2 linked regions of the Sus scrofa genome follow. The protein of the gene in region 1 interacts with the protein of each later gene in a biochemical or structural test. Links are inferred from orthologs where the notes say so. Each region holds a gene or a part of one and is shown in the gene's direction. Other genes may lie near its edges. The genes, in order: SERPINF2 and ELANE.

Evidence for each region.
Region 2: of the proteins of SERPINF2 (region 1) and ELANE, one has a biochemical effect on the other in vitro, tested with the Homo sapiens proteins (2 studies listed by BioGRID). The link is inferred for Sus scrofa from reciprocal best matches to the Homo sapiens genes SERPINF2 and ELANE.

What each region holds. Positions count from the first base shown.
Region 1 is NC_010454.4:47,933,228-47,937,623, forward strand, and holds the start of SERPINF2 (alpha-2-antiplasmin), read left to right. Parts: upstream 1-1,323; 5' UTR 1,324-1,455; intron 1,456-2,812; 5' UTR 2,813-2,816; coding exon 2,817-2,867; intron 2,868-3,012; coding exon 3,013-3,051; intron 3,052-3,164; coding exon 3,165-3,227; intron 3,228-3,513; coding exon 3,514-3,715; intron 3,716-4,180; coding exon 4,181-4,324; intron 4,325-4,396.
Region 2 is NC_010444.4:77,513,172-77,517,738, reverse strand, and holds ELANE (neutrophil elastase), read left to right. Parts: upstream 1-1,620; 5' UTR 1,621-1,647; coding exon 1,648-1,804; exon of another isoform or gene 1,805-2,195; coding exon 2,196-2,352; exon of another isoform or gene 2,353-2,490; coding exon 2,491-2,632; exon of another isoform or gene 2,633-2,770; intron 2,771-3,282; coding exon 3,283-3,513; intron 3,514-3,669; coding exon 3,670-3,876; 3' UTR 3,877-3,970; downstream 3,971-4,567. UniProt on the Homo sapiens protein: Serine protease that modifies the functions of natural killer cells, monocytes and granulocytes. Inhibits C5a-dependent neutrophil enzyme release and chemotaxis. Promotes cleavage of GSDMB, thereby inhibiting pyroptosis. Promotes blood coagulation.

The sequences.
Region 1 (4,396 bases):
ATATGGGGACAGGACGCTCCGGGAAGGGGACAGGAGACCCCCTGCCTGGCCAGTCCCCAGCCACGGTCCCCCCTTGCCGGGCTCGCTGTGCCCCTATGCCGTGAGGACAGGGAAGCCACCCCAGTCCAGGACACTGATGGTGCTTGGACTCCAGCCTCTAAGGAGGACTGGCCGTGGTCCAGGAGTTAAGGGGCTTGGGCTGGGGTGTAAGTGTCCCCCCAGCCAGTCCCTGCCCAGTGTGGGACCATGAGGGGACGTGGGCAAGACCAAAGGCGGGAAGATGCACAGGGCCAGGGGGTGCCTGCCCACCCGTCACCACAGTGTTTGTGCCTTGAGCTGATGAGGCAGCCTCTGGGGTCCAGAATCCCTGGGGGAGCGGGTCCAACACCCTGAAAGAAGGAGCAAGAAGAGTCATCTCTGCACCTCAGGTCTCCCTCCGCCAGGGGACAGGAAGACCCGGGCACTCAGAGATGATGTCTGAGGCCGGGCCCCTGCTGCCTTCTCGCTATTTGCAATAGATGTAAATATGATCAATAAACCTTTGGAAGAGCCAGGGAGCGGGGCGAGGCTTTTCTTGATGGCGGGGTTGGGGTGGGGAGAAGTTGAGACCCTGCAGCTTCCAGGACAGCGAGGGAGGGGAAAGTAGGGCCCGAGCTGGGGAGACAGCCTGATTGCTGCTCCTCAGGTGGTGCAGGGTTCAGGGCTTCTGGTTCGCGCAGCCCAGGCCAGTTTCCAGAACCCTCACCCTTGGGAAGGGTAAGGAGGCATTGCTCTGATGAGGTGGGGTCCTGGGAGGTTGGGTGCTTCTCTTCCCACCCAGGCAGAAGGCAGCCAACCAGGATCCTGGGCCTGGGGAGGGGGGGAATGGGCGCCCTATCCTGGGTTCCCTGCCGAGTGAGTCTCTTGAAGCTTCTCCTTCCCTCCTCTGGTGGCGTGGGGGGTGGGGTGGGGGGCAGGGGTGTGGGAGAGGAAAGGGGGAAAGGAAAGGACCTTGGAAGTAGGAAGCTGAATGTCACTCTGAGCCTAGCTGTGTGTCCGTGGGCAGGTCACACATCTCCGAGCCTGACCAAAGCGCGGATAACCTCCCACTTCATGGGGTCACCGGCAGGCCCCCGTGCTTCCTGCTCTGCCCTCCACCTGAGGACAGCCTCCTCGACTGTCTCCTGAACCCCCTTTCTCACGGCTCAGGTGGGACCCAGATCCACAGGGGTTCCAGGTGACCCAGTATTAGATGCCTTGGTGGGAAAGGGGCTTCTGGCCCCAGCACCAATGTTTAACCGGATGTGCAGGTCAATGTTTACCAGAAGAGAAAGCACTCGGAACTGGGTTGGCTGAGAGCAAAGGTCCTGGTGGGAGGGGAGGGCTCGGCTGGGCGGCTGGAGCCCGGGCAGAGCGTGGGGAGCACCCAAGTGGGGCCAGAGGGACATCGTGTGCAGCAGCGAGGAGCCCGCAGAGGTACAGGGGTGGGAAGGCTCGGCCTGGAGCTGCCCACCTGCCGAGGGGGTCTGGGCTGAGTTTATTCAGGGGGGCCTGTCACTTCCCAGCCTCCTGGGGAGAGGAGGAGCCAAGGTGGGGGTTCTGGTGGGGGGAGTCTCTCTGGGACGTGAAAATCTGAGGCCTTTTCTTGCCAGGAAGATTCAAAAGCCTGGGTTGGAGATCAGGGCCCCCGGCCCAGGGATCACTGTGTGGGCTGGGCTGGGGGGAGAGGATGCTCCAGAACAGGCCCGGAGCTGGGTGTGGGGTGGGCGTGTGTGAGACCTGCTCTGAGGCCAGACAGAGACCTGCCCATCCCCACCCGCCAGCCTGGCTTCCCGGAGCCAGCCTGGGGCAGAGTTGGGGGGCGAGGCCCATGTTTTCCCTTAAGTCCAAAGGTGGCTCTGGCCAGTCATTCATTGGGCTCTGCTGTTGGGTCAACAAGGCCAGTCTCTGGCCCAGCCCACCACCCCTGCTGAGAGCACCGTCTCGTCCACCCCTGTGGGCAAGACCAGACTCACCAGAAAAGGTGGGCTGATGGGCAGCTGGTTGGATAGGAGCTCCACGGAGGGAGCCCCAGTACAGAGGAGGCTTCGGGCCAGGCCTCCCGGAAGAGAAGCCTTGAACTAGGCTGACTGTACCCACTACTGAGTGCCAGGCCATGCGGTCAGGGCTCACAAAGACTGATGATGTTGGTTCCTGTAAGACATGTGGCTGGAGGCAGGGACTTTCGCCACCATTTACCAGATAAGGCAGAGCCCAGAGGGGTTGAGGAAGACGTCCTTGGTCCTCTGCCAAGAGGCACAGCCTGGATTCAAACCCAGGTCTGTGGGAGTTCCCGTCGTGGCTCAGCAGAAGCGGAATCCAACTAGTATGCACAAGGATGCGGCTTCGATCCCTGGCCTCGATCAGTGGGTTGGGGATCCCGCGTAGCTGTGGCTGTGGCTGTGGCCGACAGCTGTAGCTCGGATTAGGCCCCTAGCCTGGGAAATTCCATTTGCCGAGGGTACAGCTCTAAAAAAAAAAAGCAAAACAACAACAAAACACCCCGGTCTGACTCATGACACCAAGCCTTGAAGGATGACTTTCTGGTTTGGGTGGTGTTTTCCCCTATCAACCAAAACATTTTCAGTGGATGAAATATGAAAAACCAGGAAGTGCAAAGGGGAAAAAGCAGTTCTGGGGGAGGGGTTCCAGGCAATTCACCTCGGAGCGGAGAATCTCTGCTTGTGCCCCGGTCGTGTGCGCAGCAGCTGCCGCTGTTCCCTCCGTGCACGTGTGCGTGGGATGCCCAGTGGGTGGGGGCGTGGCATGAACAGAGGCTTCCTGTCCTGCTCAGGAACATGGCACTGCTCTCGGGGCTCCTGGTGCTCAGCTTGTTCTGCCTGCACGTGGTGAGCCTGGGCCGAGGTCTGGGGGAGGCAGGGAGGCGGCTGGGGAAGAGGCCAGGGGTCTGGGGGAAAGGGGAGGGGGTGTGGGGAGGAGAGAGGGCTTGGCTCGAGGGGGGTCCCCCTCCTTTCCTCATCCCCTTCTCCACAGCTCCCTCCTGTGAGCGCCATGGACCCCTTGGGCCTGCAGGTACTGGGGGTGAGAGGTGTGATGGGGGAAGGCCCAAGGGGCCTCGCCTGTGGCTTGTGCGGGGTGGGGCGAGTCCTGTGCGTTGCTCTTCATCCGCTCCCTCCTTTCTTCAGCTGATGATCGGGCAGGGCCAGGAGAAGCTGTCCCCTCTTTCCCTCCTCGAGTTGGACAACCAGGTACAAGCAGGTGGGGCTGGGGAAGAGTGGGGGGGCCTGGGGGAGGAGGGCCGATCGTCAAGGGCCAGGAACCGGGTGAGGGGTGTGGCGCTGAGGCCTGAGCGAGGGGTGGGAGCGACCAGGGAAGGGGACCTAGTGCCTAGAATGCCACTGCCCCTGCGACTCTCCCTCTTGAGTCTGGACTGGGACGAGGCCCTGCTCTTCCTGGCACAGGGGGTTTGGGGGAGATCAATGCAAAACCCGGGTCAGCCCCTTGACTCCACTGACCCCCAACCTGTCCCTGCAGGAGCATGGTGGCCACACTGCCCTGAACGAGGCCCCAGGAGAATGCAAGGGGACCCCAACCCCGGAGCAGACCCGCAGGTTGGCCCAGGCCATGATGGCCTTCACCAGGGACCTCTTCTCCCTGGTGGCCCGAAGCTCCACCAGGCCCAACCTCGTCCTGTCGCCTCTGAGTGTGGCCCTGGCACTGTCTCACCTGGCACTAGGTACTGTGGCAGCACCTGTCCAAACCAGCAGGGCCGGGAGCCAGGGGAACTCGCTACCCCAGAGTGTACTAGGGGGCACTTCCTCCATCAGGGTCACGTGGATATTTGGTAAAAATGCAGACCCCGGTTTCTGAATCAGGGCCCTGGGGCTGGGGGCTGGGATGAGCTTCTGGTGATTTTATGCAAGAGCTTGCTAGCCCCAGTGTGTCCTTTGGGCTGGAGGGTTTCCCTGTGGGACACTGACATCCAGAGAGGGAAGGTAACGAGATGCGCTTGCCCAGATGGGCGGCAGCAGAGATGGAGGTAAAACTCGGGGGTCCTGGCCCTCCAACCTGTTCAGGATTTGGGAGGAGAAAGTGTGGTCTCATGAGTCAGCTCACCGTAGATATTCTAGAGAGGCTGGAGAGGGCAGAGGGGATGGGAGGGAACCCCCAGCCTGAGCCACAGCTGCCGTGTGCCCTCCAGGTGCTCAGAACCAAACGCTGCAGAGGCTGCAGCAGGTGCTGCATGCAGACTCAGGGCCCTGCCTCCCCTACCTGCTCAGCCGCCTCTGCCAGGATCTGGGCCCTGGGGCTTTCCGACTGGCTGCCAGAATGTACCTGCAGAAAGGTAGGTGCTGGGGGCAGGACGTTCCCGTGGTGCTCCGGGGTGGGCAGGGGTGAGGGAGCCAGGCATGACCTC
Region 2 (4,567 bases), on another chromosome or scaffold:
AGTGGCCACGCCACCCTCTGAACCCAGAAGCCAGGTGCTTAACCTCTATAACCACTGAGAATGGAGTATACAGGTGGTGCTCAATAGAAGCAGCTTTGGTTAAATATCCCTGCCTGAAGCGCATCCCCCAAAGTCTGGACCTCCTCCATCCTGCCCCACCCCAAGATTGGAAACAGGTTGTGTATGCAGCAGGCGTTTAACAAGTGCTCTATGGGATCCTGCTGTATAGCACTGGGAATTATATCTAGCCACTTACAATGGAGCATGATAATGAGAAAAAAGTATGTATATATGTTATGTGTAACTGTCAACTTGATGTACAGTAGAAAATTGACAGAACACTGTAAACCAGCTATGATGGAAAAAATAAAAATCATCATTGAAAAAATAAATAACATGTGCTCTATGGTGGCTGTAACTCAATCGAGAAGGAAGGGAGCTGAGACGGGCTGATGTGCCTCAGCCCAGGGGAGGGACGAAGGGTGGACACTGAGCGTCTGCTGTGTACTGGAGAGAGATGGGGGTTCACCTGCCTGTGGCCACACACCAAGGGGGCCCAGGGACAAACTGGACTTCAGCCCCAGCCTGCTTCTGGGCATCCCTGGGTGCCCCCGCCTGCCTGTTTCTGCAGATGGATCCGTTGGTTCCCTCCCCTGAACCCTGCTCCAAGCCAGGAGAACGTTGCTTCTTGCGACAGCCTTGGCTATGGCCGTTGCAGCTGGAGCAGCCGCCGGGGGGAGGTGGGAAGGGGAACAGGGGCCCCTGGGCTGGGGACTGGCCCTGACGGACCCCATCTCTACTGTTGGCTTAAGTTCTTCCAAGGTCTGGCCAAAGCTCTCAAACTTGGATGGAGAGCCATGGTCCAGCTGCCAGGCCTGGGTGGGAATTTTTTTTCCACTGCCTCAGGCTGGAAGTGGCTTCAGAGAAGCTCAAAGCAGGGGGTGGGGGTGTCCCAGAACCTCTGAGGGCCACCAGAGACTGAGCCTTGGGTGGCAGTGAGTTCCCTGTTAGGAGCCACAACCAAAGAAAAGATGGAAATCAGGCCCCAAGAGAGAGACCCAAGGCTGGAAGAGGAGGTAGCAAGTTACCTTCCTGCTGTGACCTGTGGACATCTGAGTTTGAACCCCAGTTCCCCCACCACATCACTGGGTAGGTGGTTTGCAGGGGCGGAGGGGGTGGGGATGGTGGCTCACTGTGCCTCAGTTTCCCCCTCTTAAATGGGGACCCAGCAGGCCCTGCCATGCCTCCCAAATGTCAGGACAGTGCTGGGGGGCTGCCATTATTACAGGGACCTGGGTAAACCAAGGCACGTGGGCATCCCAGCCAAGTCCTTTGGGCCTAGGTTGGGGAGATTTAGCAAAAACACAGGAAGCTCATTAATTCTGAATGTTGGAAAGATAAAGACTGACTTTATATAGATCAGTATATGCTGTGCAATATTTGGGATATACTTACACTTAAAAAAAAAAAAAGTTTATCTGACATTCCAATTGTATTGTGCGTCCTGAGTTTTATCTGGTGACCTTCTGGAGCCAGCCTGACCCCCTGCTCCCGTCCTCCTCCCGGATTCTTCCCACCACTCCCTCATCCCCCATATCCCCTGCACTGGGAGAGGGCGGAGAGGAAGTGGGGGCACCTGGCCCCACCATGGGGCAACCTCAACGGCCTCGAGGCAGGGGGGTTATAAGAGGGGCAAGGGGATTCCAAGAGCAGAGTCACTGCTGCCCCAGCCCAATCATGACCCAGAGCTGCAGACCCTCCAGCCCTGCCCTGGCCCCGGTCCTACTGACCCTGCTGCTGGGCGGTGAGTGGGGCCATGCAGGTCTCCTAAGGGCATCCAGTCCTGCCTCTCCTCTTACTCTGCACCTTCTTGGTCCCTCATCCTCATGGGGAGTGACAGTTGGGGTGAGGTGGGAAGGTGGGGGTCTCTAGGCACCCCCCGGGGACTCGAAGGTGGGAAGGTGGGGTCTCTAGGCACCCCCCCGGGACTCGAAGGTGGGAAGGTGGGGGTCTCTAGGCACCCTCCGGGGACTCGAAGTGGGTGAAGTCTAAAGCTCTAGCTGCGCCCTGCAGGGGGACCATGCAGGCCACTCCCCTCTAGGGACAGGGTGGCTGCCTTGTGGGGGTTCACTGGCCGACTGACCTTGGCGGGGCTCCTCCGCGCGGCTCACCGCCCCCACCGCCTGCGCCCCCAGGCCCCGCGCTGGCCTCGGAAATCGTGGGGGGCCGGCCGGCCAGGCCACATGCATGGCCCTTCATGGCGTCCCTGCAGCGGCGCGGAAGCCACTTCTGCGGCGGCACCCTCATAGCGCGGAACTTCGTCCTGTCGGCCGCGCACTGTCTGAACGGCTTGTGAGTGTACCCCCACCCCCGCAACCTCAGTTTCCAGTTTTCGCGGGGCCGGGGCTGGGGGCCTCGGCCGAGGTGCGCGGCTCTATGGGACCCCTGCGCCCGCACGGGTGACGACTCAATCGCCTCCTCCTGCCCCAGAAACTTTCGGTCCGTGCGCGTGGTTCTGGGGGCACACAACCTGCGACGGGGCGAGTCCACCAGGCAGAAGTTCAGAATCCAGCGGGTCTTTGAAAACGGCTTCGACCCCATGACCCTGCGGAACGACATTGTGGTTCTCCAGGTGCGAGGCGCGGGTGGGGAAGAACTGGCAGGTGCAAAGGCCCAGCTTAGTTTGGGGAGGGCGGAGCATGGGCAGGAGACTGGGGACACGGTGAGGACAGGCCTGGTGTCCCATCTCTCTGTGCTTCAGTCTTCCCCTCTGTGAGACGGAAATAAGTCAGATGCCAGGACAGCAGGGAAGCTCTGAGCAACTGTCAATCAATAAGGATAGTATTTCTGGAGCCCACAGGGATGAGGCGCAGGGACCTCTTGGTCCGTGGAAATAGGGTCAAAATTCTCCACGTTCATGTGAATAGGAGACTGGAGGGAGAGAACTGTCCTTCCCCACTGCTTGAATAGCTATGGTTATTTTCTGTAAAGTTCTAGAACAATGGCTTTATTGCTGGTGGTGTTACCCATAGTTTTGTTTTCTTGAGTACCTACTGTTTACTGGACTCAAAACATGTCTGGGGATGCCCTGGGTCACAGTGGCTGCTCGCACTTTACAAACAGGAAAGGGTGGGAACCATCCTGCAGGGTGGATATCTGGCTCTCAGATATCCCAGGACCATGGTGGAGCCCTGGGTGGGGGAAAACTTGGGGCCCAGAAAGATGAAGGTTGTTGTTCACTGCCTCCTGTGACCTGCCACTGCTCTGTACAACCTGCTGCAGCTCAACAGATTTGCCTTCATCAATAGCAACGTGCAGGTGGCCCAGCTACCTGCTCAGGACCAAGGCGTGGGGGAAGGGGTGCGATGTCTGGCCATGGGCTGGGGCCAGCTGGGCACGAACCGGCCACCGCCCCGAGTCCTGCAGCAGCTCAATGTGACTGTGGTGACAGCCCTCTGCCGCCCCACCAATGTGTGCACCCTGGTACCAGGCCGGCAGGCTGGCATCTGCTTTGTACGTATCTTGCGTTCCCACAACCCACCCCTTGCTCCCACCCAGGCTGCAGCAACCAAGACCCCTGGAAGAACTTCCAGCTCCTGAAGGGCAGTGGGTGGGGATGTTAGGGTGGGGCCTGAAAGCCCAGCCTCCCAAACTTGTCTGCTTCCACAGGGGGACTCCGGCGGGCCCTTGGTCTGCAATGGGCTGGTCCAGGGGATAGATTCCTTCATCCGGGGGGGCTGTGGCTCTGGGCTCTTCCCAGACACCTTTGCCTCCACCGCCAAGTTTGCAGACTGGATCAACTCCATTATCCGACGCTATGGTGATAATGACAGCCCGCCTCTCCACCCCAGGATCCCTGTGGGCAGGACCCTCTAGAAAGGCGGCCCCTGTTACCCCACTCCCCCCGGCTGGGCTCTTCCCATGCAGCATCATGCAGCATCTGACACAATAAAAACCCTGTTTTGTAGAATGTGCCTGGGTGTTTGTTGGTTGTGCAACTGAGTGTCAGAAGTCCTCAGGTGAATGTCTTGAGCATGTCACAAGTACGCTGCTACCAAGTAGCAGCAAATTTAGTGCACCAAGATAAAAAGTCCCTTCCTCATACTTCACTAAAGGATACCAGTAGCCGTTTCTGGCTTCCCCTCCTATAAAATGTCATTAGACTCTTGTTGCAGGTGGCAAGAATGCAAAGCACTATAGCAGGTGTTCATTCTGAGTCACAAGGATCATTCTGAATCTTTGCAATCTTCACTCATCTGTTTCTGGCTCCAGCCCCTAAAGTAGTTCTTATATAAGTGCCTTGTTTTACAGGCGAGGAAGTAGAGATGCAAAGAACTGTAAAGTCATGCTCCAGGGCCTGGGTTCGAGTCCCAGCTCTGTGACTTTGGGCAAATTGCTCACTGTTTCTCTGATTCTCAGTTCCCCATGGGGAAGACTGAGGCACTGTCTGGGGAGGACCCAATCAGGGGTTGGGGTCCAGGCCAGTCTCGGCCTCACTGGGTACGGAAACAATCCTTCCTCCACTTCCCCAACCTTTTGCCTTGGGACACCTCAGGGTCTTAACTAG